Mus musculus: one gene and its partners. The protein of the gene in region 2 interacts with the protein of the main gene of each other region in a biochemical or structural test. Links are inferred from orthologs where the notes say so. Each region holds a gene or a part of one and is shown on either strand. Other genes may lie near its edges. The genes, in order: Kcnj1, Slc9a3r2, Pth1r, Podxl, Tbc1d10a, Slc9a3 and Sgk1.

Region 1 (4,511 bases), on a different chromosome or scaffold from region 2:
TTTGACCCAGTGCTTCCCAAACAGGGTACTCTGAAGATATCATGGGTCGCAAATGTTGATCTGTGTGGCTTAGAAGGTTAGTGAGGACCTGAGGGAGTCGGCTTAACAGCCTCGTCTCCGTACACAGCAGACCGTGCCAACACCATCAAGCTCCATGCCCCCAAGCAGGAAAAGCTCAAGAGATATTACCTCAGCCTCCTTTGACCACGATGCTGAGGGGACCTAAGCAGCATCATTCCTGGGAGGAAGAAGTGCTTGGAACACTCACTTGGTTGGAGTAGGTAGGTTTAGTAACAGAAGAGCCTCTATCATTCAGCAATTGTGCTGTGCGTCCTGGCATTGTCTCAACCTCAGACTGTTGCATTAACTCACTGCTGTGTCCTACAGTGCCACCGAGGGATTAGTCCTCTGAAGCCAAACTGACTCTACATCCACCACAATGCCTCACTTCAGCCTGAAGCGCCCAGGAGAAAAGAGACCGGCTACAACTTCTCCCCAGACAACTGCGCATTTCAGAGATGCGGATAAGACAAGAGGCACCTATCTGCAAGGTGAGTCCACTGCCCAACATGTCTCTCACTTCATCTCTCTGAAGCTGCAGCCCAGGTGGAGGTATGAAGATTAAGTGGAAGGAAAATGCTCGTTGCCATTCAAAGCCTGATGTTTCATCCTTGCCAGGTCTCCAGCTTTCCTTCTTCCCTGTCCCCTGCTCGAGCCGGTCAGCAGCTAGATCTCAAGGATTCAACCCCTCAGGGGCCTCTTTCCCAGGCCACCTTGCACTCAGTCTTCTTTCCACAAACAGACTAAGCTCTTAACCTATCACCTCTTGTGAGGCCTTCTGTCCCACAAACCCCGTGGCTTCTCTTGTCTTATATTACACATCCACTCTCACCCCCACCCTGCTACCACTGGCTTAATGCACCCTGCATGTATCATGCCTACATGCCTTTGTGAACAATATTTTCCTATTCTGGAATATTCTTTCTCATGCCCCGATCAGGTACCATCCTATCTACCTAAGGCTTTTAGGATAATGCTATTTTTGAAGTCTTCTATTAACAAAGTACAGCATGCTTCACCCGCACTCGGCCATGATTCCGCGAGTGCCCGGCTCTGTGGAAACCCCAGGCCACACACACCACACAATGAGCCTAGACTGGAAATGCCAGGCCACCACACCAATACTGCCATGACATGCATTTATCTGGCCACGCAGTGTTGTCCCAGGACCTAGCATGGTTCCCAGAACATTCTAAGTTTGCTTATTGCACACTTGTGGGAACACATAGGAAGATGTAAAGGACAGCAGGCATAATGTTAATGAGTGTAAGAACAAAGGAAAGACACGTGTCATCGAAAGCATGCTTGATTATAGAGAAAGAGAACTCCAGTGTGGGTTCCGGGAGGATCAAAGTGCTGGGACATAGAAGTCATCCCAGAGAAAGTTCTGGAAAGAGAGCTTGGGAAGCCATCTGTCCATGGAAATCCTTAAGCAGAGAAAAGCAAAACATGTGAGTCACAGCTGGGTCTGCGGGAAGTCACCAGGCCAAGAAAAGGCCCAAGATAGATTTGTAACCTAGTACCAGAAACACCTGGCGGAGCAAAGGCAAGGGACATGCATGGGGGACTCCGATTCATCTCTCCAGAGCAGGGCATGTGTGGCCGTGCTGAGCAGCTCACACGGTGACTGCTTTTAAGAGTCAGACAAAGCAAACCAAAAGCCACCAACAGCATCAGAAGTCCAAGACTCTGTCATGAGCAATTTGTGCTCTCTGCTTCTTTACAAGTTCAATCTTCAGCCTGAAAGGACTTGATCACTTCCTTGTGTAGAAGGAAACCCATCTCCATGAAATGAGTGTCGGAGAAAAGAAAATGGGAGGGAAAAAAAAAAAAAAAACTTGGAACGACTGCTATTTCCCCAGATAATCCTATCTCATTGTGACTTGAAAAGCAGCAGTTGATTGACCAGTGGGAACACGTTCACATAAAATATCAAGTAGAACAGAGAAGAGGGCCAATGAGGAACCCCAACACCTCGGTACTGGGCACTTCTCTAGCACTGACGTGTCTGGAAAACCCTTGCCTACCTTCACTTCCTTCCATACTCACTGTGTTCTGTTCTAAGAGTTGTAAGTTGCCCTTTGCCTAAATGTTGATTATAGACGGCCACCTTCTTTTGGGTAGCTATGAACAGAATCTGTTAGAGACAGATATTTGGAGAAGGAGCCCCATGCCTGTCAGAGTGTAGAGAACCAGTTGGCATCGTTACCACCCAGAACATTTGTCAGAACAATATTTAGGGAGCAGAACAGATAACGACAGATCTAAATGCCTGCAGTGGAAATGGTACAAAAGGCCACCAAGTGTTACGTAGGGAAACCGAGCACTTGCCTGAGACAAGATGTCATAGAGCTTGTAACTTGCCTTGGCTACACTAGACTTCAATAGCACCTTTATCCTCTGCCTTTCAAGGCAGAGAAGGTCTGAGGGAGGTTCTACTATTAAACAAGATGCTGCTTTCAGGGTGCTCAGAGGCAGCCCCATGCTCATCCTGCAGCCAAGAGAAGACATTGCACTGGAGTGATGCAATCAAGCTCACACAGGCTTCCAGCCTCGGAGCTGTGAAGTGGCCGAGGGTAGGCAGAATGTGTAATCCTTCTACTAATCCACCTGCAACCAGCAGATCCCAGGCGAGAGGTGATTTAAAACCACACTCTTATCCCTCGGGTGGGGAGGGACAAATCTGTCTCGGTTACAGGTAGGGAAAAAAGGAGGCTAAGCTTGCATGAGAATTAACTAGTATTTCAACAGAAGGGCAATGAGATGTGTGTCCTCTTACCTCATGGATTGCTGGGGTAAACGTGGAGACAAACGTTCATTTTCTTGGTCCCCAAGAGAGCAGTCAGGTGCTTGATGTGAGAAAGTCCCTTGCACCTTTGATTCGAGAGTTTGGATGCCCCAGCTAAAGGTGCCCAGTACCTTGGGTTTTATGTCTGTGGGTCAGCTTTGACTGGCTCCTGACTCATCTATATGCAGCAGTTCTCAAAGAACATGGTTTACTTTATAACCGGATCCAACAAGAGTAGGCGTGGCCTTAAATGATTGAGATACACCGAAGGTGTTAGGCTGCCAAGATAATTAAGAGAGACTGGTTTATAGAGCCAGGGCTTGGAACCAGAGGAAGGCCTTCTTGTGTGATAGTGTCCATATCACATAAGTGAATATACAAGGTCCAGAATCACTCAGTGTCCTAGGAGGTTGGGCTAACCTGACCTTCCAATGGTCCTTCTTCATCACTATGGGTATAAAGCAATGTTGGTCTTTATAGCACTTTATAGCACAGACTCTTAAGGAGATCGATCAGTAGGGTTGAGACCCTATCCACCAACTTCTGCCCCAGGCAAGTAACCTAGTGCTGCCTGACCTAAGAAGTCTGTACTGTGAAGTAAGATAATGCAGGAAGTGCCTTGGTATAAGTGTTTCTGCTCTCTTTAGTCACCCCGACTGACATCTGATCCTAGACCCCTTCTAAGTTGTTGTTCTAGGAGCTCCTTTGGGTTATAATGTCCTCTCAGAACACTTACATCACCATTGATCACCATCAGAAGCGTGGGAAAGCCGCCATCGTGCAGGAGAAACAGTGGCCGTCTACGCACTGTCTCATTACCTGACAACAAGGAAACACCAGCCTCAACTCGGGAGTGGAACCAAGGAACCAAGCAGAAGGGCCGAGAAGCACCTCAGCTTGGAGATGGCTGTGCCAGCGGCTCTGACACCATAGATACTTGTATAGCCATTTCTTCCATATTGAAACATTCCACTGAGAAGGACAATAGATGCTCACAAAGCTCACAAGAGAATTATAAGACTCACAAGGCCCCTCCTCAGAACTTTGTAGATGGGAAACAACTGCTAGAGGACAGGAGACTCTTTGGGGATGTAGCTTTTATCATGCTGATGTCAGTGACAAGCTGTCAATGTTGTTAGAGTGGGCTTTGGGTAATGCAGTTCCCTGAGGCACCTATGCATCTATAAGTAAGCTCCATCTACCCTCCTATAAACAACCCCAATGCCCACATTGCTTCACCAAGTTAGACTTGGGTGGAATTGTGCTCACCAGTGTCCTTTCAGGGTTGAACAGACTTTTGTTCGTGTCCCCAGGAAAAGTCACACAGAAACTGCCTTATAGAGCAGAACCAACACATGATGCTATTTACAGCAGAGATGAAATGGAAATTGATCCAGAAATGCTTGAGTGAAGGGTATCAGGGCTTCAAATACTTATACGACCAGCTCATGTCATAGGCAAGGAAGAAGAATGCAGTAGATCATTGTTGTCTTACATGTTGAGATGTATTTGATAATGTGATCATCTTAAAAGGTCGACCCTGTAAGGGGTGGTGAAGTCATGAGGGCAAAGCCATCAAGGATGGTATCCTGGCCTTTGTAGAGAGGCTTGGTGGAGTGGATATATTTATTCTCTGCTGCTGTAAGGACAGAGTATCCATCAG
Region 2 (4,419 bases):
GGAAGATTGTTATCAAGGGGCAGGGATTGTAGTTCTGGGAAAGGCTCATTGTTCCCACAGACACAGCCTACCATACCTTCTGGCCAGTGTCCGAGCCAAGGCTGCCCGAGCATGCCCAGTCCGGCTTTGGCTCCCAGGGGTTGTGGGCTGGGGGAAGCCCTCGATGGGCCATCTCCTCAGTGCAGGTCAGTTGCCGCCGGCAGAGCTCCTCATCGGTCTCCTTGTCCACCACAAGCAGCTGGGTCTGCCCCTCCACAGCCTTGATCCTCTGTACCACCTGGAACGGGTGCGAAGCAGGGACCCGGTCAGCAGCCAACACCCCAGGCAGCACATGGGTAGGGCATCACTCCCGGCTAGGCCAAGACTCATGGACAGAGGGGCAGGGGTTGGCCTGCCAGGGGTGGGTAGCTGGCCTGAGAGGCCTGCAGGCTCCACCCCCCACCCCCAGTTTCTAGCAGTTCCCTCCCTCTTCTCCCTGTAGCTAGGGCCCAGGCTGCAAGTACTTCAGGATTCTCTTGTGGCCTTGCACCCAGCTCAGGTGAGCACAGGAAGACTGCTTGGAACAGCCAGATGGGAGAGTCCAAATCTGTTCAGTTGAGCTTCAGGATTTCAATCTGGTCTATGCATGTGTGCAGGCTTATCTCTCTCTCTCTCTCTCTCTCTCTCTGTGTGTGTGTGTGTGTGTGTGTGTGTGTGTGTGTGTGTGTGTGTGTGTGTGTGTGTATTTTAAAGTCTGTTCTTTGGTCCAGGGGTAGGAGAGAGCAATGTCTTTGTTGGCCCCAGTGTGAGTATTTGGGCTTATTTCTTTCTTGGAGATGCAGTGTGAATCTAATGCCCAACAAGTTCTAGAACCTCAATTTGCCTCCAGATCAGGACTAGAAACCCATCCCTGCTGGACCTGCAAAGAGGTGAAGACAATTCTAAGGTGCTCACATCCATCAGGTACAGCAGCAGAGCAGATGTGGCTTTACAGCCATCTGTGTGTCTATCTGCCTGGGTGTCTGTGAGGTGTGGGACACCGTGGACCGTGCAAGATCCACTCCTACAGCCTGGGAGTGAAGAGATGGCTTCTCTAGCACATGCCACCACAGATAAGAAGGCCCTACCTGGGCCCATCTCTACCTGGCCCCTCAGTGCTCATCCTCTCTCCCCATAACCAACAGAGCAGAGGGATGCCAGCTCTCTGATGCTTCTGCCATGGGAGCCAAGCCAGTCACCACAGTCGCTACCAGCAGAATGGGGGTCGTGGTTTTGGCTCCTATCTCTCTGAGCAGTAGGAGTTTAATGTGGCTCTAGGTGAAGGTCTTTAGAGACCTGGGATAAACAGGTACATTTCAGCGACTGCAAGAGGCATATGACATCAACTCTGCCAGTCTCTCCCTTGCTTTTTAAGCCAACCACTGGGCTTCACTCCCAAACTCTTCAGCACACAACCAAATCCAGGGGTCACTGTAGTCTACCTACTGGTCGCTGGGGAGATAGAAGTTCAACTCAGTCCAGCAAGGAACCACTGCTTTCTCCAGGCCTCAGGACTAACCACTCCCATAGGTCATGGACTTAGTGGTACTAGGGTTCCAGAACAGAAAAGGTGGAGGGAGGCTGAAGTGTAACCATGGTCTTAACTGTATCTACCCCTCAGCGGGATACAGACACTCCAGAGGTAGAACCTGCAGAGAGACCAGTGGATCATCTCTCCTCCTTCCTCCTGCTGCAGCAGGCAAGGGCTATACAGTGACCTCTACAGGGCCAGGCAGCCGCCCAGAAAAAGGCTTTTTCTGAGCCCAAGGAATCGCTGCTACTAGAGCCAACTCCACCAGATCCAGACACACAAGCCCATGAAAAGTACACTAGTGTAACCAGGTAAGCAGGCGCAAGCGCGTGCACGCACACGCACACTCACATGCACACACACACAGAGAGAGAGAGAGAGAGAGAGAGAGAGAGAGAGAGAGAGAGAGAGAGAGAGAGAGACCAGCACACATGCCTGATGTGTCCACACAACCCTAGACACACATTCCAGCCCTGACACAAGTATGTTTTCATCCACTCCTGGAACACTTGGGTAGTGTATTCATATGGATGACCCCAGAGAGACCTGAGAGCACACACACATAACTCACACACTGACAGAAAAGCATCTATACCACAAGGCCACAAGGTGCCTTAGCCACCTCCTCCCCCTCCATGGCACACGGAGGCCAAAACTAGCAGAAGCAGCCAGGGCCCTGGCCAGAGTAGCCGCAGTGCGGCCCCTCCCTACCAGGATGTCCTCCCTCCCCCGCTTGTGCAGGACTGAGCTTCCTCACCAGGAGGCCAGCTGGCGGGCCACGTCCCACACCTCGACACCCAAACAGCAGGCCCCCATGGGACCCCTGCAGGGTCCCACCATACGGCACGCAGAAGGGTGGTCGTAGGCATCTTGGCCAGCGCTGTAGGGACGCGCCCCTAGGAGGGAACCGGGGGGCGGGGCGCAGCGCAGGGACCCACCTGGTGATGCGTCTCGCCCTCTACGTTGACGCCGTTGACCTCAACCAGGCGGTCCCCGGCGCGCAGCGCGGCCGCCTCGGCTGGGGAGCCTGGCTCCACGCGCCGGATGAACTGGCCACGGCGGCCTTTCTCGCCATGCAGGTGAAAGCCGTACCCTTGCTCTCCGCGCACCAGGCGACACAAGCGGGGCCGCAGCGATTCCAGCGCGGCCATGGCACCCGCTGCCCCCTGGCCGGCCGCGACTGGCCACGGCTCACACCACCCGCAGGCTGGAGTGCGGAGGCGGCGGAGGCGCGGGCGGGAGAGCAGGCAGCGGCCTCGGTGGCTCCTGCTCAGCTCGCGTCGCCTCGGGCTCCGGCTTCGGCTCTGGCCCTGGCCCCTGCTCCTGCTGCAGCGCCGCCCCCGCGCCCGCCCCTTCCCCGCCCTCCTGGCTGCCCCCGCCCTAACCCAAGCCCCGCTAGCTAGGCCCCTGCCTGGGCGCCCAGAAACCCTAGGACCAAGGAGTGGGATTGCTTGGTCAGGCAACCCTCGAGTCCCTGGGAGTCCTATCTTAACCCATTTTGGCCACCCTCCGTAGCGCCAGCACCTTTGACTTCTGTCCAGGAACCACTTTTTTGGACACCTGCATATGGTACAGTGAGAGAGGTTCCAGAAATGGGAAGCCTCTTGTCAGAGACACTCTACACAGAGGCCAGAGGGGAAGTGCAAGGGCCACTGCGCCCTTTCCTCGGGATGCACCCCACCCTCTACCTACCAGGAGTGTTCTGCCTGCTCCCTCTAGATCCCCGAAGTTGTCTTGTCCCGACCCAAAGAGCAACAGGCAAGAATAAGAATTTAAAGAGACACCACGGCAACCAAGGTCTTTGTCTTTAGGCAACCAAGGACAGCAAATAGGTGTCCCCTTGTTCTTCCCAGGAAGTGTTTGTCCATTAAACATCCTGTCTCCTGTATTCCCTGCTTTTTGGGAACATGAGTTTATCTGGCAGAAATGGGAGGTGTGTGCTGTCTTCCTCTTGACCTAGTATGAACCGTACTGAGGACTTTGGTCCCTGAGCTCTAGGTGGTGATCAGCTGTCCCAAATTAAGCCCCACAGGGCTCCCAACGCCGGTTCCTAAGTCTATAGTCCCAATGCACTTAGATTTACAATTGATGAAATTCTCATCTACTCTTACAGGAAAATAGTCCCACTGAAAACCCCTTATGCATTCCTATATGGTTTTCCAAAAAACAGCCCTAGAGAAAACTGACCATTTTACAGATCAGGAAACTGAGGCCTAGAGAAAACCCTCTGCTAGAGTCCAGTACTGTGAGACTGCACTTTCACCTTGAAGCATCCTCCCAACACATAAGACAGCTGAGATCCAGGCTTACCCACAGCCTGCTTCTCCCCAGCCCACAGCTCCTCACTTACCTGGTCCCCCGGCGTCAGGTACAGCCAGCTCAGACAGTTCCCCATGTGGATAGGAGAAGCAGTCCTAGCTCAGTGTTCTCCTCTCCCTCCCCTCTCTCCAGAACCCTTAGCTGAGGCTTTCAACCCCCACCCAAGCACTAGGACCCACCTCTCAGCAGCAGCCCCTTGGGTACCCACACCCTAGCTGCTGCTCCTAAAAGGCACTTAGGCTGAGGATACTTTGTTGCTCCCTGCCTCCAGCCCTCTCTTCAGATTCTAGCTGATGCTGCCACAGGCCTGACTGACCACTTCCATCTATCTGTCTGCCTGCTTATCCAAAGAGTTTGTCTTTCTAGCTTAGGATTGGTTTCACTGAGCCTGGCGTAATGCTGGTTGCCCATGGAGATGGTTAATGTGTATAAACTATGTATATCCCATCCGTGTGAAACTTGGAAGTTATCCCCAGAATAACCAGGAACCTGCCAGACCTGCTAACAGCATCTTTGTGGTCACACTAAAGAGGTTGGCAAGATGGGAGATC
Region 3 (3,941 bases), on a different chromosome or scaffold from region 2:
GCTCGGTGAAAGGCTCTCTGTCCTGGGCGCCATATTCCCAGCCCCACCCGGCCAGGCCCACAATTCCCTCTGGTCCCTGGGGAGCCACAGGGTGACCACAGGCTCCCAGATGTGGCCCATCTGGAATCTGCTGCCCACCCTGCTGGCTCTAACTGGCCTTGTGGCCACAGCTTGGGCTCTGTGTTTGTCTCTCCTCACCTCCCCGAGGCAACCCTGTTTCCCTCTCTCCTCTTCTCTCCTTGTCCCACTGTCTGCCTCCACCCTTCTGAGGCTGCCCTCATCTCTTGCTGTGTCTATGGGTCTTCCCACTATGTGTCTTTCTGTACTTCCTTTGACATACCAGACTTCTGGGTTGAGCGTCTTGTTCCCTTCTCTGTCTCTCTACATCTCTCCCTGACTAGTCTCTCAGGACTCTGTCCTCTCTCTTTACCTCAGTGGATCACGGGTTTCCTGCAGCTCTGGGTCCTTCTCTGGGGAGTCAGTGCATCCGTTCTGCACACTTTCTTGTATGCCAAGGCCTCCCAACTCACCTGACTCCCCACCCCTATGCGTGATGCCTCCTGGCCTGCTTTTCTGGGAAGGGAGCTGTGGTCTCTGACTTTCTGTAGGAACTCACATTGGTGGAGACAGGTGGATCTGAGCCTGGTCAAATGACTGCCTAAGGAGGGGTAGGGCACAAGATGGACAGACATACCTCGGCGCCTGCTGCCGGTGGGCACATCCTTGTTCTCTTTAGACTCGGGGTAGAACTTTCCCGGTGCCTTCTCTTTCCTGGGCTTCCCTGACGTAGATGCTGGCGTCCACCCTTTGTCTGACTCCATTATGTTGGCTGGAGAAATGGGGGTGGTTCTAGCCATCGGCTGTGCTGTAACCACAGCCCTGGTTACTGCCCGGCCCCTCACCGGCTCCCCCTTTTTACAATGAGTTGATCCTATCAAGGATGCTGACACTCAGGCTGCTGGAAGATTAGGGAGGACAAGCAAGTGACCCGGGGGTGTTTGCTAGGTGGAGAAGCAACCAGGAAACAGATGTGGTTGGCAGAGGTTCAAAGGGGGTGACTGACATATGAGGTGGGGTCACCTGGGAAGTGGAAAGGATGGCAGGCCAGGAGGCAAAGCCTCGATGGAGGAAACAGCCCGCCAGAGGGCGCATGGCAGAAACTGGGAGAGGTGGATGGAGGTAAAGGTGATAACCAAGTCGGGCTAGCCTGCTGTGTGGGTGACACAGCCAGGAGTAAAGAGTGCATTGTGTTAGGAGTGGACACACGAGCCCACCTTCTCCACCCTCTGCCCGAAGATACTCGGGTCAGGGGCTTGCAGCTTCTACAAGAGCCCCTGAAGACACCACCTGAGCTGGGGCCTGACCTGTCCTCCTTGAAAAGACACTGGAGGCTTCTGTCCTTAGCCAGAAAGTCCTCACTATCTGACTTGTGTGACTTCAGCTGTAACCCAAGCTGGGGTACCTTGGGCACCCTCCTACGTTGGGGTCCGTGGGAAGCTGAGTCCAGGCAACCTGTACTGGGGTGACAATGACTGACAATGACTGACAATGGGGACTGGGGTGACAATGACTGACAGCATTCTCGCTCAGGGAGGGGTTCTGTGATAGATGAGGAGCCAGAGATGTACCCAAACTGTGGGTTCCACAACTAGGAAGAGGGCCCCATTTAGGATCATATGAGGTGTTCATCTGTCCCTACCCTCTGTGTGACAGGTGGGCCAGGATAGGTGGAGCTTGGTCTGCAGAGGAAGTTTTTACAAATGTGAACAAAGTCCTCTTGCTTCATAGAGAATCTGTCACCATTTGCTTGTGTCCTGGGTATGCTCTACTCCCAGCCCCCAGTAACCCGAGAGCCAGCTCCAGAGAGAAAGCTGCTCTGGAAGGACAGACAGTAAGCAAGGGTGATGAGATTGGCCAGACCTCAGAAGCCTGGATGAATGCCAATGTAGCCCATACCTGCTTCCAGGAAAGAGACTCACGGAAGGGGGCAGAGAGGAGACCCAAGATGGGAGATGCCCTCCTTACCCATGGCCAAGGTCCCTTAGAGATGCTGTGTGTGTGTGTGCGCGCACACACGCGCGGTCCAACGCCCTCTGTCCAGGCTATCGGCTGAGTGACACACACATCCCTGTCCCATCTAGTTCTAGGGATGCTGGTTCTATGCAGGAGCTTCCCATCCTTCCAGGCATGGCATGGCTAATCTTCTCTTTAAGGAAGTTGGCCCAGCCCACCCTGTTTGGACCAGCGCCCTCAGCAAAGTCCCTGGCTTGCCCAACCCCATCTAAATCCACTGGGACCCCGTGCTTTGTCTGCCTTCTCCATCTGCAAAGGGAGACCCACACATCTTTCAGCAAGTTTTCCAAAGGCTCTTGTCTCTCTCCCCCTCCCCAGCCCCCACATGGCCATGCCTGGGTCTGAGAGCTCCGGTGGGCAGACAGCACTTTCCCGAGTCCCGGAAGGTAAGGATCGCCTGAGCCTGTTGACTTCACCCTTGCCCGATCCATCTCTTTTAGGCCTTTACTCTGGCTGGGTCTCCCTTTCTTGAGCCCACCCAAGGTTAATGCCTCCAACTCCTTCACCCGATTGTCCCCCGCTTCCTAGACTCCCACCCTTTTCACATGCTGACCCCACCCCCACCTGCTGTGTGCAGAACTTCCTTGAGCAGCTTGTCACATTGCGCCTGGGCACGGTGCAGCAGGAAAATCTGTTCCTCTTTGGTAAAGACATCGTCTGCGTCCACCTGCCAAACCAAAGGTCAGACTGTAGGCAGCACTTCCAGGTGAGGCAGCTGGTTCCAAACTCATGCAACCTCCCCAGGGATTTCCCCCCTTTCGAAAAGTGATCCCTTCAGAGAGAATGTGGGGAGTCGGGGAGAGCATCTGCCTTCCAGAGCCTCCCTTTTAAAGTTTGAAGCCACGGTAACTCAATGGCTAGGACCTGCCCCCTTGCAGGGAGGAGAAAAGAATTGAAGCTGTCTTGTCTGTCTGTCCAGCAGTAACCCAGCATCCACTGGCATTCTTTGTCTAGTAACCCCCCCCCCAGGGGGGGGTGTATGGGAATGGTGGAATGTCCCAGGATGGAGCCTCACAGGGTCCTGACTGCCTGCTGGTGATCCAGGGTTAGATCAGGAGTGCTGAACTCTGAGGAGATAAATCCAGCCTGGATTCCTTCAAGTTTCAAGGCCCCCGGGGACCATGACAGCCACCATTTTCCATGCTGACCCAGTGGTCAGCCGGTGCTTTTCCCAGTGAAGGGTCAGAGTCTCACCCTTCCTACTGAGAGCCCCAAAGAGGGAAAATGGAGAAGCAGTGGGCTGGGCTGCACCCCCACATGCAGCTCGGCGCAGTCCTAGGAGCCCTTCATCCCACTGGAAGTTCCTCCATCCTAGCAGATGCTGCGGAGGACATGTGTAACTCAGCACAGGCCTTTGCTCCTGCTGACCTCTCTGAAAGAATGTCCTCTCTCCACTCTGTACACCCACGGGGACCCAGCAACATCATTTTAACCCCGGAAGAGAGAATAGTGCAAGGGGTCAGGGAGAGTCTCTTTCTGAGATGGTGGCTGCTGGAGGAGATCTGAGTCTCCCCTGACTTGGAAGCAGGGGCCAGCATCTTGCCTGGAAGGAGTACCGGGTGGGATACTCTGGGACAGCCCGGGGCAGTCAGAGCCATGTACCTCAGACCTCATGACTCCCCTAGAAAGCCTACCTCTTCCTTAAACTCCAAAGAACACAGCCTGATCACCCTGAACCGACAGCTCTGCCAGCCCATGCCTGGCCATGTAGGCGGGTCTCTTTAGTAAGGGTGGAGCTACGAGAGGCAGAGAACTTGGAGGCCTGGAAGGAAGGAGGCGGGTCAGGTTAGGGGCGGGCCGGCGGGAGGGGGCGGGCGGCCCGGGTCAGGGAGCCCGGCTGAAGGGAGAAGTTAATTGACCGCGTCTCT
Region 4 (4,501 bases), on a different chromosome or scaffold from region 2:
TTGAAAAGTCCACAGACATGCAAGTGTGGGGCCCAGTCAGAGAGTTTCCACCATGCCAACCCACCTGTCTCCTGCCCAGGTTTCATCCCTCAAAAGGCTATCATCCAGAGAGGCCTAAATCAGTCTCTCTTTTCAACAGCCAAGGAACATGGAAGTCAAGACATCCACAACAGTGAAAACAGAGGTCCCTCTGTTCCTCCACCCTACTTTACAGAAAGGAAAGTGGAGAGCAAAGGTCTGACTTGCCCTGTGGCAAAGGAAAAGCCCAGGAAGGACCCCAGGATATAAAGGCTGTTTACCTCCAGGGTGAGCTCAAACCACCAGCTTAGGAGGAAAGCAGGAGACCTGTTGGGATAATCCCTTTGTTACAGAGACTTGCACTGGAAGCCTACAGTTTTGCATCTCATCATAGAATTCCACCAGTTGAGGTGGTGCTGGGGGGTGGGGGTGGGGGTGGGGGTGGGGAGATATGGCTGATGACAGGCCTAGAGGAGGGTGTAAAACCACCACAACCCAAACCCAGGTTTGCCCCCTAAGCCTTTTTTGACCTGGATACAATTCACCATCATCATCGTCATCATAATCAATTTGCTGTCCTCGTCATCAGTGTAACCATTCCTCCTCGCCACCAAACACTGTCAAAGAACGTCTCTATATTGCCACATACTGTGAAAATGACATTTCAGGATTTCGGTATCCAGGGCTCAGTGGTGCTAAGAGACTTGCTGTTTGGAACAAGGCCAGGTTTCTGGACACATTTGTTCGAGCATATTGATCTCTGACTATGAGCTGTCCCTGTGGTAGAGTCTGGACAGGGCCCCTCAGCAGGCATCATTCCTAGGCAGTTGTCAGGTGCCAGACAAGAAACCCAACCTTGCCGGGGCGTGGTGGTGCACGCCTTTAATCCCAGCACTCAGGAGGCAGAGGCAGGCGGATTTCTGAGTTTGAGGCCACCCTGGTCTACAAAGTGAGTTCCAGGACAGCCAAGACTATACAGAGAAACCCTATCTCAAAAAGGCCAAAAAAAAAAAAAAAAAAAAAAAAAAAAAAGAAGAAGAAGAAGAAGAAGAAGCCCAACCTTGATGTCCAGGGACCCGGTTGGGAGCAGTTCACTGATGGCTTCCAGGGATCTCCCTTTAGCCTGTATCTTCTCCAAGCTTGGCTTCTATAAGATTGGAATCACTGTGGACTAACTAGCTCATCTGGCTTTTGAATGGTACTAGGGGCTCCCCCTCCAAAAGACTGCATGTGAAGACCATGAAGTTGCCAGGGCACTCTACAGACTTGTCGGTCCTTGTTAGACTGTGGCCCTCCAAGCTCTTCCCATCTTCCTCGAACTGCACCCCTCCTCAAGGAGCACAGGCCCTTCCCCCAATGGGAGTACTCTTCCCTTCCAGGTCCCGTTGGAGTCCCAGGCCACCCTCCGGAGGTTTAAACCTCCATTCCCTGAGGACCAGCCCTCGCCACCCTACCATCTCATCTCTCATTGTTCTGCAGAATCCTGTTCCCCCAACACTAACTCCCACAGCAGCAGAGTCCCTTCCCCGCTTGGGCGGTCACCACTGTACTTCCGACTCTGGAAAGCCTCCCTTCGCTACTTTCTCCCTGCAGCTACCTGCTCAAGATAGGCTACTCCGTTTATGAAACCTGCCTCTCTCTCCTGGGCTGAGTCTCTCAGCTGTTTGGCAGGGACTTTGGGACACCTGCTCTGGTTATGTTTGCAGACACTGCCTGACCTCTCAAACAGAAAGTAACATTCCACCTTCAGAAAGAAGGTAGTGGGATCGTCTCCAAGCTGGGTCTGATGGGAGATGGGTGCCCGAGGTATTACTAAGACACAACTCAAACCTCATTTGTGAAAGAAATTTCTTGTTTACACAAAGGGGTGGGAGGGGCCCACCATCCTGGCCATGCTCTGAGAAAGAATCCGGTCCTTTGGCAACATGAAGGCAAGGACCCCACTGAACCAGGCTCTGGGACCCTGGAAGGAGCGCTTATTCCACCCGTCCCGGGACAAGCTTAAGAAAAAGCGCTTGCACAAGAAGTACGCTACACGCGTGGGCATTTAGGGATTTGAGGTCAGTTTCAGGGGCTCCTTCTTGTGGTCCCTGCCCGCGGCTTTGCTTAGTTTCAACGACCTCCCAATACGGTCCCCTAGTAGCCCCAAACACGAGAAAGAGAAATCGCATTCTGGTGGTCATGCGGGAATCTGGGACCTCCCCACAACCCAAAGTTTCCCCCCCATCTCCAGCGAACCCACCAAGTGCCCCCTTTACAATCTCACAACCTCCGGCTCACTCTACACCAGTGAAGACTAGGAATAAATCCACGATCTGGCCCCGCACCTGCGGGGTTCTCCAATTTGGAGGGGGCGTGGATGGTGCCAAGGTCAGGACTCTGCGTGCGGCCACGCGGGAGAGGCTGCAAGCGGTCCGACCACGCGGTGCAGCCGGCTTCCCAGGAGCCCCACCAGGCTTGGGGCGGAGGGGAATGACCAGGGGTCCCGGCAGAGCCGCGGCTGTCCACTCACCATTATGGGAGTGAGATGCAGGCGACAGTAGCAGCAGCAGCAGCGCGGAGAGCGCCGTAGTGGGAGGCATGGTTGTGCTCGCCCGGGGACTCCGAGCAGGTGGCTGCGGCGCTGGCGCAGGGTCGCGCGTCCGGACAGCGGGAGCGTCGGCGCCGCTCCGGGAGGCCTGGCGACGGCCGCGAACTCCGGAGTCGCGATCCGGCCGCTCCTCCTGCCTACCGCAGAGCTGGGCTGGGACACGGAGCCAGCAGCGACGAGCGAAGGTGTCTGCGGCCCGGGCGGTGTCTGCGCCGCTGCGGCCCCGCGCACGTTGCTGCGAAGACTCCCGCCCCGTCCCGTCCGCGCTGGCCTCCGCCCCCTCCCCCAGGAGCTCGCCCACAGCGGCGGCGGGGTCGGGCGGGGCGGCGGCTGGGCGGGCGCTGGGCTGCGAACAATAAGCAGAGGAGGAAACTCCGCCCTGGAGCGCGGCGGGCGGGGGAGCAGGGGCTGGCGGTCCCGGGCAGTGCGTGTGTGAGTGAGTGTGTGTGTGTGTGTGTGTGTGTGTGTGTGTGTGTGTGTGTGTGTGTGCCTGTGAATCTGTGCTCACGCTGTGTATACTTGCCTGCGCGCGCGCCAGGGACCCTGTCAGACAATCAATCCATGCCGCGGATGTCCTACACATTGCTTTTGCAGGGGATCAGCCCGGATCCTCCATAATGCTACCGCCCTTACAACGCAGGCACAGGCCCCCCCAGTCTGGAAGTTCCGATAAGAACCGACCCTTCCAGGCCCCCAGACCTCAGCGCCTTCCTGCGGCAGAACAAGGGAAGCAGGTCCCCTGCCCAGCAGGTGCCTGGATCTCGTGCAGTCCCCAAGTCTGTCCTCCGGGATGAGCCCCGTACCATCTGGACGGGTTTTTGTTTTTGTTTTTGTTTTTGTTTTTGTTTTTAACCTCTCCCACCGATGTACAAATGGATGCGACTCTTTTAAGGCAAAAATTTCAGCGCTTAATTCGTGCGCGTCTGTGTTCTAAGTGCTTTGCACGTATTAATTCGCTTGCTCTTCACGGCAGTCACATTTTTAAGCCTCGTTTTGCAGACAGAAAAATAGAGTTAAAAAAATAGTTTAAAAAGTTGTTTAAGATCCCTTAGGTGGTAAATAGCAGCCTTACTTCTGAGATTAATCTGGAAAAATACTTTGCACAGAGCCCGTAATACTGTAATTGAGCCATAAGAAATAATATTGCTGAATAAAAAGCAGCAATGGAGATTTAAGGGCCTCGGCGTCAAATCCAACCTGGGCTCAAAACCTAGTTGGGCTAACTCACTCTGAGTGCTTTGATTCTTTACATACGAAGAACAAGGCTAACAACACTTCCAACAGCTGCTGAGACACTTGCTTGGGAGACGCACTTAGCGTAGGGCCAGAACCTTGAACAGCCTTAATGAAAGAAGCAGCTTTCGCTCGTGAGAAACCCATAGACCTGAGGTGGGAGATCGGAATTGGAGAATCTCATAAATGGAGAATCTCATAAACCCGAGTTTACTCTGTGAAAGGACAAAGAAGCTCGCATCCTATTCGTTTGGGGAGGCGGGGAGGCTTTGCGGGCTGCAGACTCAGTGGAGTCCCCTGCAGAGGTGGCACTCTCATCTCGGGATACAAAGCTGAAGGGGGAGGGGAGGCTGACACGGAAAGGATATGGTGAAAATTTGTCACACATGACTCCTGGGTTGCTAATCCGGAGTCTTTCTGTCAGATGAGCCTAAGTGGAGAGATTGTTCCCGGATCCCAAGGACCGTGGACCTTATGAATCTCTCAAGTGGGCTATGCGCAGGCTCATCGTGAAACCGCTTAGGAAGAGTAGGGTTGGGGCGTCCTTGCAGCGGGCCTCAAGTTTGAGAAGAGCTTCCAGGCTGTCTTTACTAGGAAGTTTCTGCATGATCGTTCTGGCATGGTATTCCACGCCGCGTATGGGAAAGACAGAGGGTGTTC
Region 5 (4,579 bases), on a different chromosome or scaffold from region 2:
TATGTGATCTTATGTATGTAATATGCTATGTGATCTTATGTATGTAATATGCTATGTGATCTTATGTATGTAATATGCTATGTGATCTTAAGCAAGTTTTTGCTTCTCTGGCCTCTGTTTATCTTCTATATAAAGGCTATACTAGTCAATCTCTTAAGATCTATTCCAGCTCAGCTCACAATTTTATGATATACTTTAGGCCAGTATGCAACAGACACCAGAGTGAGGAAGCCTCTGTTTTCTTTCCTATTCCCACAGACCTTGACAACCACCAAAACTGACCTGTGCTGGGACAACCTTTGGCCCCCGATGTCTGAAACAGACCTTTAATCTGGAGACAGAGTCTCCATCCGGATTCTGCAGGCCATTTGTGCTAATGTTTCACTTCTCTGGGATAGCACATGTACTCCTAGCCCTCAACCACGAGACTAGGTTCAGGGCGGTCACAAACTTCCCCTCGTATGGCCTTGGGCAGGGACTTACTTTTGGCTTTTTTCAAAACACAGTATAAACTAAACAAGGAAGATCCAAGTTCTCTGATACCAGAGATTTTGCTAATGGACAAGCTGAAGGAAACGAGGCAGGGAGACAGAAACAGATCTAGGGTCTCACTTCAGACTTGGCCTAACAGACATCAGAGACGTGGAGGGCACCTGTGGGGTTGTATCCTAAGTGTGCTATTGGAAGGTGGAGAAGATGAACAGCAGGCTGAGATTTTTGGGATGAGAGCCAAAGGGAGGTGCTCCCATTGCGTCTCTTCCCACAAATACCAGAGGTACGCCCTAATTTTTCTCTTCATTTCTCAGACCCTTAGAAGGAGAAAGAAAGCGATTTCTTGGGCTATTCCTGTGCCAGGCATGGTGCGGGATGCTTCCATATATCCGGTTTCATGTTCCTCAGCAGCAATGGGTATACACACTACTTTTTCCCTTGACTAAACAGGCTAGGGACTCAAGATCTACCCAAGGTCACACAGCCAGCAGGTAGGATCCCTAAATCTGGCCCTTCCTCACTCTATCATATCGCCCTGCACCCTGAAATCTGGGTAAAAATCCAATAACCACAGAAGAGTTCTCATGCTTTAGAATTTACCAGCAAACGTGACTGTTACGTCCAAGACCCCACAGATAAAACTGAGAATTCCTTTCCCACCCCCTCAAGACCTCACCCTTCCTGGGCCCCTGATCCCTGAGGAAGGGCCCAGGAAGGGTCCCTGATGATCTTGCCCCAACTGAAACACAGCCTAAACCCTCTCTCTAGGTTCCCACAAGCTCATACAGGGTGAAAGGTGAGAATGAGGGCTTCTCCTGGTTCTGAACTGGACCAGGCTTAGTCTAATGTGAGCAAGAAAGAAAGGTTGGAAGAGACAGATCCAGTGGGTGGGAGGAAACATAGGTCAGAGGCCTGGATTTAAAATTTTCTCCTTCTAAGGAGGAGGAGGCCTCGTGAATAAGAGACTCTTGGGGAGGGAGGGTGATATGGTGGAAGTGACATTTATATGGGACAGCTTCATGGAGTGGGTTCTTAAGATAATCAAGCACTTCTGTAAGTCCCAAGAACAGCTGGGGACATCCTGGGCAGTCACAATCAGTCAGAGGAGAGGGAGAATATATACTGGCGTAGGGCTTCCATGGTGCCTGTGAGGCTCTATAAACTGGGAGGTACACTATGACAGGGAGGCTTGTCAGTTCTGGGTATGGCGCTAGTCTCCTATCACAAGACAAGTGGAATGAAAGCAGGATCTAGAGGCCATCTTCCTGAAGAGACCACCAGATCGCATCCGCAGTCTCTGGGAGGGCGGGCTTCTAGGGGTTCTGCTGTGTACAAATCTGTAGCCCAACATGCTCAGCTTGGAGGGAAGGTGTTACTCCTGCCTCAGCTTTCTCTAATGGAAAGCTGGGTACCTGGTAGCTCAAGGGTGGGGTGCTGTCTCCCTCCTTCTCCAGTCCTAGATCTGGATTTGGGAAGGAAGGACATAAACACGGCAGCCTGGGAGTCTACTGGCTGGCTCCCCTGTGATGAAGCTGACAGGGGAGTCCTAGAGTTGAGGTGCCCTATAACTACTGGGAAGGAGTGTCGGCCCACCTGTTGCCTGTGACAATGGACAAAGCTGCCTTTTGGCAGAGGGTGTGTAATGAGGAGAGACCTTTCCATGATGAAAAGAAACTGGGAGTCAAGATGGGACCCTCTGGGAGGGGGCTGGCCAGTGTCAATCCTTCTGAGATATGTGTCTGGAGGTAAGGGTTAGCGCGACCTGGAATAGCTCGGAGTCCTGAAGTCTTAAGATTTCCTGGGGTGCCGATACTGAGGTGGCGAGACAAGGATTCTGTGGGGTAGGGGGAGATGGAGAATAGCTGTGGGCAAAGTATGGGGCAGCCATCTGTGCGCGTGTCAGGGGGTGGCAAAGCTTTAAGGCCAGAGTAACCTGCGAGATTATGAGCTGGAGATGGGAAACCCCCATCGGGGATACTCTCCTTGGAGGGTATGGATCAGTCGGTTTGGGGAAGACCAGGAGGAAGGGAATGGCCTTTCTGTTCGTAGGTAGAAAGTAGGCTGCCGCTTGCGGCGTATCTGTGGGGTTGGGACAGTGGAGACACGTTGGTGGGTCAGGCCCACGCCTGTGCTGGTCCCGCGCCCGGCCCAGACCCCAGAGCTACTCACGCGCCCTCGGCGCCCTGCGAACCCACGATGAATCCGAACTTGTCGATGCGGCGCTCGGCGAAGCCGTTGGCCTCCGAGTCGGAGCCGAGCGAGCTCAGCTCGTCGGCGGTGGCGGCGTCGGGGCCCTGGGCCAGGCTTTCCCGGGTCCCAGACAGGCTCCCGCCTGCTGCGGGCTCGCGCGGCCCATTCTCTCTGCTGCTTTTCGCCATATCGGCCGCGCCCGCCACCAGAGCGCCAGCGGCCACCTCAGCCGCCTGAGCCGCCCGGCCTCCGCCGACGCTGCCGACGCCCCTCCCACGCACTGTGCCCATTGGCTGCCACAAAGCTGGGGGCGGATACCCAGGGAGCTCCCACCACGCGCCCAATGGGTGCCGAGGGTCCCGAGCCTCGCCCCTCCTCCAGCCTGGCGCCAAGTGGACCGACGTGAGGGGGCGGGACAACCGTCACCAAGGGCCCGCCTTCCCTGGCTGCCAATCACAAAAACTCACCTGGACTAGCTCGTCTGGCTTTTCCGGGTTGGCCCGGAGCTGGTGTGTCACCTGCTGCTGCTCTCTGGCAGAAGGTCTAGGGCTTCCCTAGAGGTCCTAAGGTCTCTGCCTCCATGGGAAACAGGGTCGTGGGTAGCGCTACTTCGCCAGGTCATTTTCAAGAACAGTGATGAGACGCAAGTGGGCTTAGGGATCTGAACCACCTGGCTGTTCTGCTTAGGGGGATGCAAATTAGCTCGTGGGAGACCCTATAAGAATAATACAGAACAGCCGGGCAAGATGGCTCACGCCTTTAATTTAATCTCAGCACTTGGGAGGCAGAGGCAGGCGAATTTCTGAGTTCGAGGCCAGCCTGGTCTGCAGAGTTAGTTCCAGGACAGCCAGGGCTACACAGAGAAACACTGTCTCGAAAAACCAAAACCCAAAACCAAATTATATATATATATATATATATATATATATATATATACACATACACACACACACACACACACACACACACACACATATATATATATCAGACCTAAGCTCTACCTTTTTCTTCCCAACACCTTTCTGGTGAGGGTTGATTTGTATTGTTTTTCTTTGAGATAGGGTCTCCAAAGTGGCTTTGACTTTACTATGTAGTCTAGGGCCCTCCCTGTCTCCCAAGTGCTGGGATTACAGATGTGGGCTATCCTGCCTGACTCCCCAATAGTTTTATTGAAATATGGTTAGCATACCACCACTTCCATCTATTTAAGGTATATACATACTTCCTATATTTAAATTCCATCACCCCACCGACACACCTACACATGCACAAATACATAAAAATTAAAGATAAATTAGGCATGATAACAGATGCCTGTACTCTGTAGGCTAAAACAGTTTACAAGTTCCGGACAGACTGACTGGGCTACAAATAAAAATCCTATCTCAAAAAAAAAAAAAAAAAAAAAAGTACAAAGCTGGGCGTGGTGGTTTTTATCCCAGCACTCGGGAGGCAGAGGCAGGCAGATTTCTGAGTTTGAGGCCAGCCTGGTCTACAAAGTGAGTTCCAGGGCAGCCAGGACTACACAGAGAAACCCTGTCTCGAAAAAAAAAAAAAAAAAAAAAGGTACAGTCCCATGGTTCTTTAGCATCCGTACAGAGTTGTGCAAACATTGCATCCTCCTCCTAGGAAATTCTACCGAAGAAAAATGAAAATAATGCTACCTGGTCAAATAGAGAGAAAAAGAAAAGAAAAAGAAAAAATATTCAAATGACTTTCACCAATTAAGAGTGTATAAATGTGGTATGTCCATACAATGGACATAATTCAGCCATGAAAAGAATAAAGCACTAATAAGTATGCAATGTAGATATATCTTGAAAGCAAAAAAGAAAGGGTAAGCAAGACAAGACCCTGTCTTAAACAAAGAAACAAACAAAAACTGAACACACAAAAT
Region 6 (3,941 bases), on a different chromosome or scaffold from region 2:
CTTTGTGGAGACCTTATGCCTACTCCACTGCATGGGTCTGAGAAGCCATCAGGGAGGAGTTGAATGTGTTCCCTCCACTTACGTGATGACTCCTGACCTCAAGACCTCAGAGTGAAGCTGTTTGGTAGGACGTCTTCAAAGAGAGTAGTTAAGGATAAAAGTGATCAATAGGGTATGCATGAGAATGTATAAGAAATGATGTATAAGAAGAGCGCAGATCATAAACACACAGAGAGATGACCATGTGAGCACACAGGCAGAAGATAGCATCTGTGGGCTAAGGAAAAGGGCCTCCAGAGCCAGCTGCCATGCTTGGCTCTCAGCTTCCAGCCTTCAGCATTGAGACAATAAACTCTTACTGTTTAAGCCACGGGCTTCTGAAGTATTTTGTTTTGGTGGGCCCATGGGATTAACGCAATTCCTGTAGGACTTTGTTGTTTGTTTATTTACCTGTCTGTTTCTTTGGAAATAGTGGGTAATATCAAGTGTGGGTCCAAAGTTATAGACCTCTGCTCTGGGGGATGTGGATATAGAGATTTCAATAGGGCAGCATTACTGCCAAAGGTGGTAATGAATGGGCCTAAAATTGTAAAATAGAGAAATTGGATGAAGCAGAGTTAGGGAGCCAGAAGAAGATCAAAGCCTCTGTCTCCCCAACCCCTAACTCATACCCCAAGATTGCTGAACCAATAAAAAGGAGCAGGTGATAGACATACCCTGCAGGAGTTGGACATCTTAGATTAAAAACATAGCTTAAAAGGAGACCATGTTCAGATAGTGGCCCTCTTTCTATCTGAAGCATATTGGTAACGAGCACTTGGCAAGGTATCCTAAAACCTCCATGCAAGTGAAATGTTCTGTAGCTACTCCAGGGACCCCACCATCACTCACCACAGTCACTGCATCATTCAGCAGTGACTCCCCAAAGACAATGATGAAGAGGACTTCATTGACATGGACTTCCTCAAACACAGCCAGCACAGCCACTGGGTCCACAGCTGCAATGAGGCTACCAAACAGCAAGAAATCCAGGAGTCCAATTTTCAGTTCACCTGCAAGAGATGTAGACCATGGACATGGGCTAGCCACTTGGCTCTTTCTCTCCAAATCCCACATCTCTCAGGTCCCTGGATGATCAGAGTCATCAGGAATAAAGGCTAGGAACAACTCTTCCCAGGGCTACCCAGTGACAAAGAGGATGTCAGAGACTGGAGCTCACAGCCAGACACCCCCAAAATATGTAAGACTACACAGTCCCCCCATGTGGCGCTTCCTTCTCTTTTCTGAGCTGGGATAGATCTTGCCATCCCTTGAGGCCAAAGAATGATCATTAGGAAGAATCTCAGGCAGCCAATGTGCCCCAGGAAGTAGAGGGCACTGGACAAGGTGGTCTTTGTAGTGACTTGAGCCCCATATGTCAGTGATTACTAAACTCTGCTGCCTCCAGCCAGTACCAGAGCTCTCTGAAGTCTCCATTTAGAAGTGGACCACACACTAAACTGCCACACCATATAAGCCCTGCCAAGCTTTCCAGAGTAAACTACCTTCTGGGATAGATAGCCTTGAAATGCCTTAGCGGAGCCAGCTTCTTGGTCTAGAATCTTTACAGACCTAAAGTGCATTCCAAAAACCAAGCTGGATCCCAGAAGATGTATAGTCCACTGAATCAGGACTGACTTTCCAGCCTAGACAGTATACACACATTTGTGTGGAACTTAGCTGACCCTCTCAGGGTGAGCCCCAGCCTTGAACTACTGTCCACAGAGTCTGACCACTGCCTAGGCAAATGTGGCTATACCAGCAGCCAAAGTCACATAGAAAAGAGAGCTCATTGGATGAGGATAATCTTTCTGGTCAGCTTTGACCAGCTAGGTCTCAAAGATGAAGCACAAGCCAACATCCCATATCTATCATGGGAGAGTGACCCTAACTGCAGACAGTGATGTATAGCAATACTGGTTATTAAAAGACACTATGGTATAATGATTCTTCATGACTATGACATAGTAGGAAGGTGGGCCTAGATGTTTCTGGAGATTAAAATGTTCTAGAATTTGATAAGCATGTGATTTCCCATATAAGAATACTTGCTAAGGTCCAGTGAACTGTATTTAAAGCTCTATACTTACACCATAAGTCAGTCTGTTACAGGGTTTTCCATTTACCCTAAAAACAACCCCAGGAATATCACATGCTGGAATCTTATGGCTGACAGGGCCATCAAGTGAGGGCCAGTATGTCCCTTGAGTAGCTGTCGGTATCAGATCCACAAGCCCCTGTCCCCTATCTCAAGACATTTCTCTAGGTCCAGCTATCTTAGATATGTTCCAATCACCTTATGGCATCACCAATGTGACCAATAGTACCCACCCTCGGGCAGGATGCCTATAGTTTTAGAAGCCAGGCAAGCCTTCACCGTTGAGGTCTTTATCTAGTGATGCAGACAATAAGGGACTAAAAGGGGTCTCCCTAAAATAATAAGTTCCCAATAAGTTGCTAGTGTACATGAGCAGAAACAGCACCAAACCACTCTAGAGGTTTGAGGTGCTCAACTCTGTAATTCATCATGCGACTAAGAGCATTTCACTTTCATCTCCTTCTCCCGTGGGGGTTGACCAGCTGGTTACACCATTCTGGCAACTATGATAAGAGTTAGAACAGCTGCCTATGCACACCTACCCACCCTGCTGATCTGTGCGGCCACGAATCTGTTATGAACATGGCACAAAAGTTTTAGCTTACAGATGTCTCAAGGAAGCTAATTATAGATTGGACCTTTTTACACATACTAGTTGATAGTTCCTGGTTTTACTGTTTCCTGTTTCTCCTTGGTCTCCAGGATTTCAAAGGCCTCATTCACTTAATGAGTGTTCCAAAGGGAACATCCTGACTCCGAGTCCTCCTGTGAGCATCTACTTCCATCTGTTTAGGCATCACCTACTGTCTCACAGCTGGACAAAGATTCAGCATGGGATTGTGATGGTTGTTCTTGATTGTCAGCTTGGTTATATCTGGGATGAAGTACAACCCACAAATTATAAAGACCCTGTGAAAGGTAAAGAAAGGTCCAAGCATGGTGGTATATCCCTTTAATCCCAGCACTCAGGAGACAGAGGCATGCTAAAGTTAGTTTATAGAGCAAGTTCCAGGACAGCCAAGCTTAGGTAGTGAAGAAAGTCATCGAAAACAGAAAGCTGACGATGATGTAATAGAACAAGTGGGCCATGTTCCAGCCACAGCAAGCAGAAGAATTCAGCTTCTTCAGTCACATGACTCTGGCTTTAGAGTCAAGTGTAGAAGGGGTTACTGGGACAATTGATGCTGGTTGGCTGAAGCTAAGAAATTAGCAGTGATTAAGAAGAGACCAGAATCACTGAGGTAAAATTGTCTGGGAAATGTTTTCTGAGAGCACAAAGAAGCTGTGTTCCAGAGATAGACACCATGCTGGCATCTAGACTTGGTAATAATAAGATTCACCCAGATGGTACTGGTTTTGAAGGTATGAAGGGGTCATGGAGAACAGCTGAGGCTTGACACTGTGAAAGGCCATTGTTGAAGGTGCGGCCTCAGATGCAGTTGACATCCCAGGACTGCAAAGAAGCTGAGGCTTGGCACCATGAAGAGAGCTTCTGAGAGAATATTTATTGGTGAAGCCTAGTTACAGCAGAAGACCCCAGTGTGTTGAAAATGGCAATACCATGGGATGACCACCAAGAGCAGCTGCAGCAGTGGAGTGGAGTCAACCAGAGCCTAGTGATGTAGAAAGCAGAGCTGGAGATGTGACCAAAACCCTTTAGTGGAGCTCAGAAGATCACGTGTGGATCCCAGACATTGAACAAGAAGCTGTAACATTGAAATTGCCTTGAAGACACCAGGATGTTAGAGATGCCAGAGTCATGGGATACTTGCTGAGGAAAGCTGCTAACAGGGAGTAGAACCAA
Region 7 (3,941 bases), on a different chromosome or scaffold from region 2:
ACCTTACAGATTGTGGGAGGCTCGGCTATGCTTCATCTTTTGATCATTTCTCATAAGTGACCAGGATGAGTTTTTCATGAAGACATTGCATGATGTCCTGGGTCCATGTTTTCAATCTTTAAACATCTAGAACAAGAGTCCTTTGTCTCTGGGAAATGCTTATCATCTTCAAAAGAGGATGATGCTGAAGTAACCCTCTGGTGGTGTACTGGCTTGAAACAGCACACTGGAAGACCTACAATTGTTGCACCTTACAGAAATGGTGGTTTTTAAAGACTGTTTTTCCTGGCCCTGACCTACCTTTGCCTCTCAAGGGCTGGGACTAAACACATGTACTACTTACTGCCCTAGGGCTCTTTATCACTGTATTGACAGTAAAATACAGCCTAATTGTGGGGCTGTGTTTGCACTTTAATCCCAGCACTGTGAGTTCGAGGCCAGCCTGATTGATAGCCTGAGTCCCAGGACAGCCAGGGCTACACAAAGAGAAACCCCTGTCTCAAAAACAAATAAACAAAAGAGATAATGAAAGAAATATATAGATTATACGTAATGCCTTATATAAAAATAAATATAAACCTAATTAAATTACAAATTCAAAATATAGCTTTACCTTAATCCTCAGTCTTTAAATAAAACCCCTTAATTTTTTAAATTTTAGAAGCTGTGTGATAAATTCGTTATCTTATCTTCCTGAAAATAACAAAAATAAAAATAAGGAAAAAGAAGAGAAGAGAAAAGAAAAGAAAGGAAAGGAAAGGAAAGGAAAGGAAAGGAAAGGAAAGGAAAGGAAAGGAAAGGAAAGGAAAGGAAAGAAAAGGAAAAGAAAAGGACTCTCTTCCCAAATTCTTTTAGAGTTACAGGAGAACGCTGTAAGTGGGTCAAATTGTGTTGAACTAAATATTATCGGTAGCAGCAAGTCTATCGGTGATGAGTACAATCCACTGTGTGCATCATTACAAGTTGATCATGGGGCTAAGAGCACTGACTGCTCTTCCAGAGGTCCTGAGTTCAAATCCCAGCAATCACATGGTGGCTCACAACCATCCATAATGAGATTTGATGCCCTCTTCTGATGTGTCTGAGGACAGCTACAGTATACTTACATATAACAATAAATAAATCTTTAAAAAAAAAAGTTGATCATGTACATTACTGAACACCGAACCTATTCTAGATGACCAGTCGTTGAGCGTCACAAAACCTAACGCAGTTCTAAGAAGGTTCAGTTCCCTAGCAGGGAAAGCAAACCCATGGAGAAATAGGAGTTGGAAAGATTAAGTGATGAACGGGGCATCTTTTACTACAGTAATGCTATGGCACAGGATGGCACATGCCCCTGACTGTGCACCATTACACAGCTGCCAAAGCACCAAGAATGAACTAAAGCTGGGTAGAGTGGCACCTGGGTATGATCCCAGTCCTCAGAAGGCTAAGGAAGGAGGATGGAGAACGTAAGGCCAACCTAGGATACAGAATAAGTCCCCATCTCAAACCAACAAGGACACATTAGTCCCAACATAAACTACAGTGCTGAGTAATGATGTATCTATCCGCTGGGGATGCTGATAATGGAGAAGGCTATGCTCGGGGAGGGAAATGTAAATTATAGAAAATCTTTATACCTCTGCACAATACTTCTATGAGTCCCAAGCTACATTAAAGGTTGATTTTTTTTTTAATTAGATAACACAACAGGAGGCTGGTGAGATGGCTTTGTGGGTTAAGGCCCAGTGACCTGAGTCCTCAGGACCCACATAATAAAGGAGAGAGTGAAACTTATGCAAGTCACCCTCTGACTTCCATATGTGTGTTAAGGTGCATATGCAAGTACATACATACATACATACATACATACATATACACACACACACACACACACACACACCACACAAACACACATGTGCATGTACACACACAAATGCACATATGTACACTCGTACACCCCCAAAATAGGTATAATTTTAAAAGCATAACAGGTGTGTGGTGCAGACCTTCAATTTTATCCATAAGGCAGAGGAAGAAGAACTGTAAATTTGAGGCTAACAAGTTTCAGACCAGACCAGCATTACATATCGAGAACCTAATTCAAAAAAAGGAAGAAAAGAGGAAGAGAAGAAAGGAGATGAAATAAAAGTCTAATAAAACTTGCTGCTGTGTTTCCTACTTACAAGCATTATGAATATACATCTTTTTTTAAATTGGCACCTCTGTCACAAACACAAGAAAAAGGTTTCCAATTCCAGAAGGGCGGGCCCTCAGCAAAATAAAGAACTTACTTCACACCCAGGTTGGATCTCCCAGGAACAGGACTCCTCTGGAGGGAGCATCCCCCTTTGGAAAGCATGGTCACCCAGGCATGATTGACACATGGCCTCAAAGTCTGACTCCCCAGGGGGAAGATGCACCCCAGCAGGGCCAGTGTACTTCAAGTTGGGGCTCTGATGCTTGTCCACGCTGACCATGGGGCTCTTGATCCATCTTCGTACCTGAGAGTGCAGAAGGAGAGAACAGAGAGAGGCATTTGCTAAGGTTGTCCTTTACAGCACACTGCTGGGAGATTTGATGAGACAAAGACTACGATGAGGAAAATTTTGTCTTACAGCTTCTCAGTCCTTCCATCCATCTCTTCTAAACCGGTCCATGCTGGCTGTTCTTCCATCTCCCCAAGCCTCTCATCAATTCTAGGCCTACGATAATGATACTTCTCTTGTGTTGTAACAGTTACAACATTTTCTTTCATCTCTCATGTAACAGTTACAACATTTTCATCGTGCCCTATTGTTATTGTTTGCAGCACTGGGAATTGAATGCAGGACCTCGTGCAGGCTAAGTAAACACTATACCACCGAGCTAGGGCCTCAGTCTGAGAGTGTTTCTATTCTTAAGTCATTATCATTTTAAAGGGGCAGTGCTTATCTTGGCTTACAGCACAAGCAGATGGGATCCATCATGGTGGGCAAGGCGTAGAGACAAGTAGCTGCATAAGTGTGTGTGCAGCTAGGAATCCAGTCCAGGAGTCGAAGGAATGGGAAGCAGGAAATAGAGAGGAAGAGAAGTCCCAAGGCCAGGTACTGGAAAGATGGCTCCCAAGTTAGGAATTTGGACTGTTTCAACAGAAAATCTGAGTTCAGTTCCCAGCTCCCACATTCATTGAGTGGCTCACGGCTGCTGGTACCCTCAGATTCAGGGGGCTCTCAGAGCTCTTCTACCTCCCACATAGAAACAAAAATAAACCTTAACACCTTAAGGTTACTTGGGCGTGCTGATGCACACTTTTAATTCCAGCACTTGGAAAAGACAAGGATAAGTATGTGTTTTTCACTATTATAAAACCTCACTTTTTTTTTTTTTTTTTTTTTTTTTTTTTTAGTGAGGTTGTAGACAGGGATGGTGGCATGCGCCTGTAATTCAAGATCTCAGGAGGTACAGTTTAGATTGCTGTGAGCTCAAGGCTCTCCTAGTCTATATAGTTGAGTTCCAGGCCAGACAAGACTAGAATAAGGCCTTTTCTTTTAATACACACACACACACACACACACACACACACACACACAAAGAATAGTAGCCAGGCTTATTGGTTCATTCCTGCTATCTTGGCTACTTGAGAAACTGAGGCAGGAACACAGAAGTTTAGAGCCAGCTTGAGCTACTGAGGATGCTCCAGGCCAGGATGGGTAAGGAACATTTGAGCTGGACGTACAGTCCCTCCATTTGGGGGCCTGAGGCAGGGGGAACACTTTAAGACCAGCCTAAGCTACAAAGTAAGATTCCGTCTCAATAGCTGGGAGGAAGATGACGCTGGTTGGTGTGATTCTACCAACTGGGAAGAACAAGTTCAAGGTCAGTCTTTGCTTTGCGGGTAGTTCAATGCCATCGTGGGCTACTTGGGAGCCTATCTCAACATTCCTCTGTCAAAAGACTATAACAGTGGATGTTAT

What was found.
Region 1: the proteins of Slc9a3r2 (region 2) and Kcnj1 form a complex in vitro, tested with the Homo sapiens proteins (2 studies listed by BioGRID and IntAct, with this or other methods). The link is inferred for Mus musculus from reciprocal best matches to the Homo sapiens genes NHERF2 and KCNJ1.
Region 3: the proteins of Slc9a3r2 (region 2) and Pth1r interact in a test that uses a peptide from one of them, tested with the Homo sapiens proteins (2 studies listed by BioGRID and IntAct, with this or other methods). The link is inferred for Mus musculus from reciprocal best matches to the Homo sapiens genes NHERF2 and PTH1R.
Region 4: the proteins of Slc9a3r2 (region 2) and Podxl form a complex in vitro, tested with the Homo sapiens proteins (3 studies listed by BioGRID and IntAct, with this or other methods). The link is inferred for Mus musculus from reciprocal best matches to the Homo sapiens genes NHERF2 and PODXL.
Region 5: the proteins of Slc9a3r2 (region 2) and Tbc1d10a form a complex in vitro, tested with the Homo sapiens proteins (2 studies listed by IntAct, with this or other methods). The link is inferred for Mus musculus from reciprocal best matches to the Homo sapiens genes NHERF2 and TBC1D10A.
Region 6: the proteins of Slc9a3r2 (region 2) and Slc9a3 form a complex in vitro, tested with the Homo sapiens proteins (2 studies listed by BioGRID and IntAct, with this or other methods). The link is inferred for Mus musculus from reciprocal best matches to the Homo sapiens genes NHERF2 and SLC9A3.
Region 7: the proteins of Slc9a3r2 (region 2) and Sgk1 form a complex in vitro, tested with the Homo sapiens proteins (2 studies listed by BioGRID, with this or other methods). The link is inferred for Mus musculus from reciprocal best matches to the Homo sapiens genes NHERF2 and SGK1.

Annotation. Positions count from the first base shown.
Region 1 is NC_000075.6:32,370,942-32,375,452, reverse strand, and holds the start of Kcnj1 (ATP-sensitive inward rectifier potassium channel 1), read right to left. Parts: upstream 3,036-4,511; 5' UTR 2,840-3,035; intron 552-2,839; exon of another isoform or gene 388-551; intron 282-387; exon of another isoform or gene 51-281; intron 1-50. UniProt on the Homo sapiens protein: Inward rectifier potassium channels are characterized by a greater tendency to allow potassium to flow into the cell rather than out of it.
Region 2 is NC_000083.6:24,647,451-24,651,869, forward strand, and holds the start of Slc9a3r2 (Na(+)/H(+) exchange regulatory cofactor NHE-RF2), read right to left. Parts: upstream 2,856-4,419; 5' UTR 2,701-2,855; coding exon 2,488-2,700; intron 278-2,487; coding exon 77-277; intron 1-76.
Region 3 is NC_000075.6:110,728,901-110,732,841, forward strand, and holds part of Pth1r (parathyroid hormone/parathyroid hormone-related peptide receptor precursor), read right to left. Parts: intron 2,741-3,941; coding exon 2,638-2,740; intron 830-2,637; coding exon 695-829; intron 1-694.
Region 4 is NC_000072.6:31,561,049-31,565,549, forward strand, and holds the start of Podxl (podocalyxin precursor), read right to left. Parts: upstream 2,890-4,501; 5' UTR 2,601-2,889; coding exon 2,531-2,600; intron 1-2,530. UniProt on the Homo sapiens protein: Involved in the regulation of both adhesion and cell morphology and cancer progression. Functions as an anti-adhesive molecule that maintains an open filtration pathway between neighboring foot processes in the podocyte by charge repulsion.
Region 5 is NC_000077.6:4,185,182-4,189,760, reverse strand, and holds the start of Tbc1d10a (TBC1 domain family member 10A), read right to left. Parts: upstream 2,929-4,579; 5' UTR 2,871-2,928; coding exon 2,662-2,870; intron 1-2,661.
Region 6 is NC_000079.6:74,152,200-74,156,140, reverse strand, and holds part of Slc9a3 (sodium/hydrogen exchanger 3 precursor), read right to left. Parts: intron 1,053-3,941; coding exon 892-1,052; intron 1-891. UniProt on the Homo sapiens protein: Plasma membrane Na(+)/H(+) antiporter. Exchanges intracellular H(+) ions for extracellular Na(+) in 1:1 stoichiometry, playing a key role in salt and fluid absorption and pH homeostasis.
Region 7 is NC_000076.6:21,926,890-21,930,830, reverse strand, and holds part of Sgk1 (serine/threonine-protein kinase Sgk1), read right to left. Parts: intron 2,490-3,941; coding exon 2,280-2,489; intron 1-2,279. UniProt on the Homo sapiens protein: Serine/threonine-protein kinase which is involved in the regulation of a wide variety of ion channels, membrane transporters, cellular enzymes, transcription factors, neuronal excitability, cell growth, proliferation, survival, migration and apoptosis.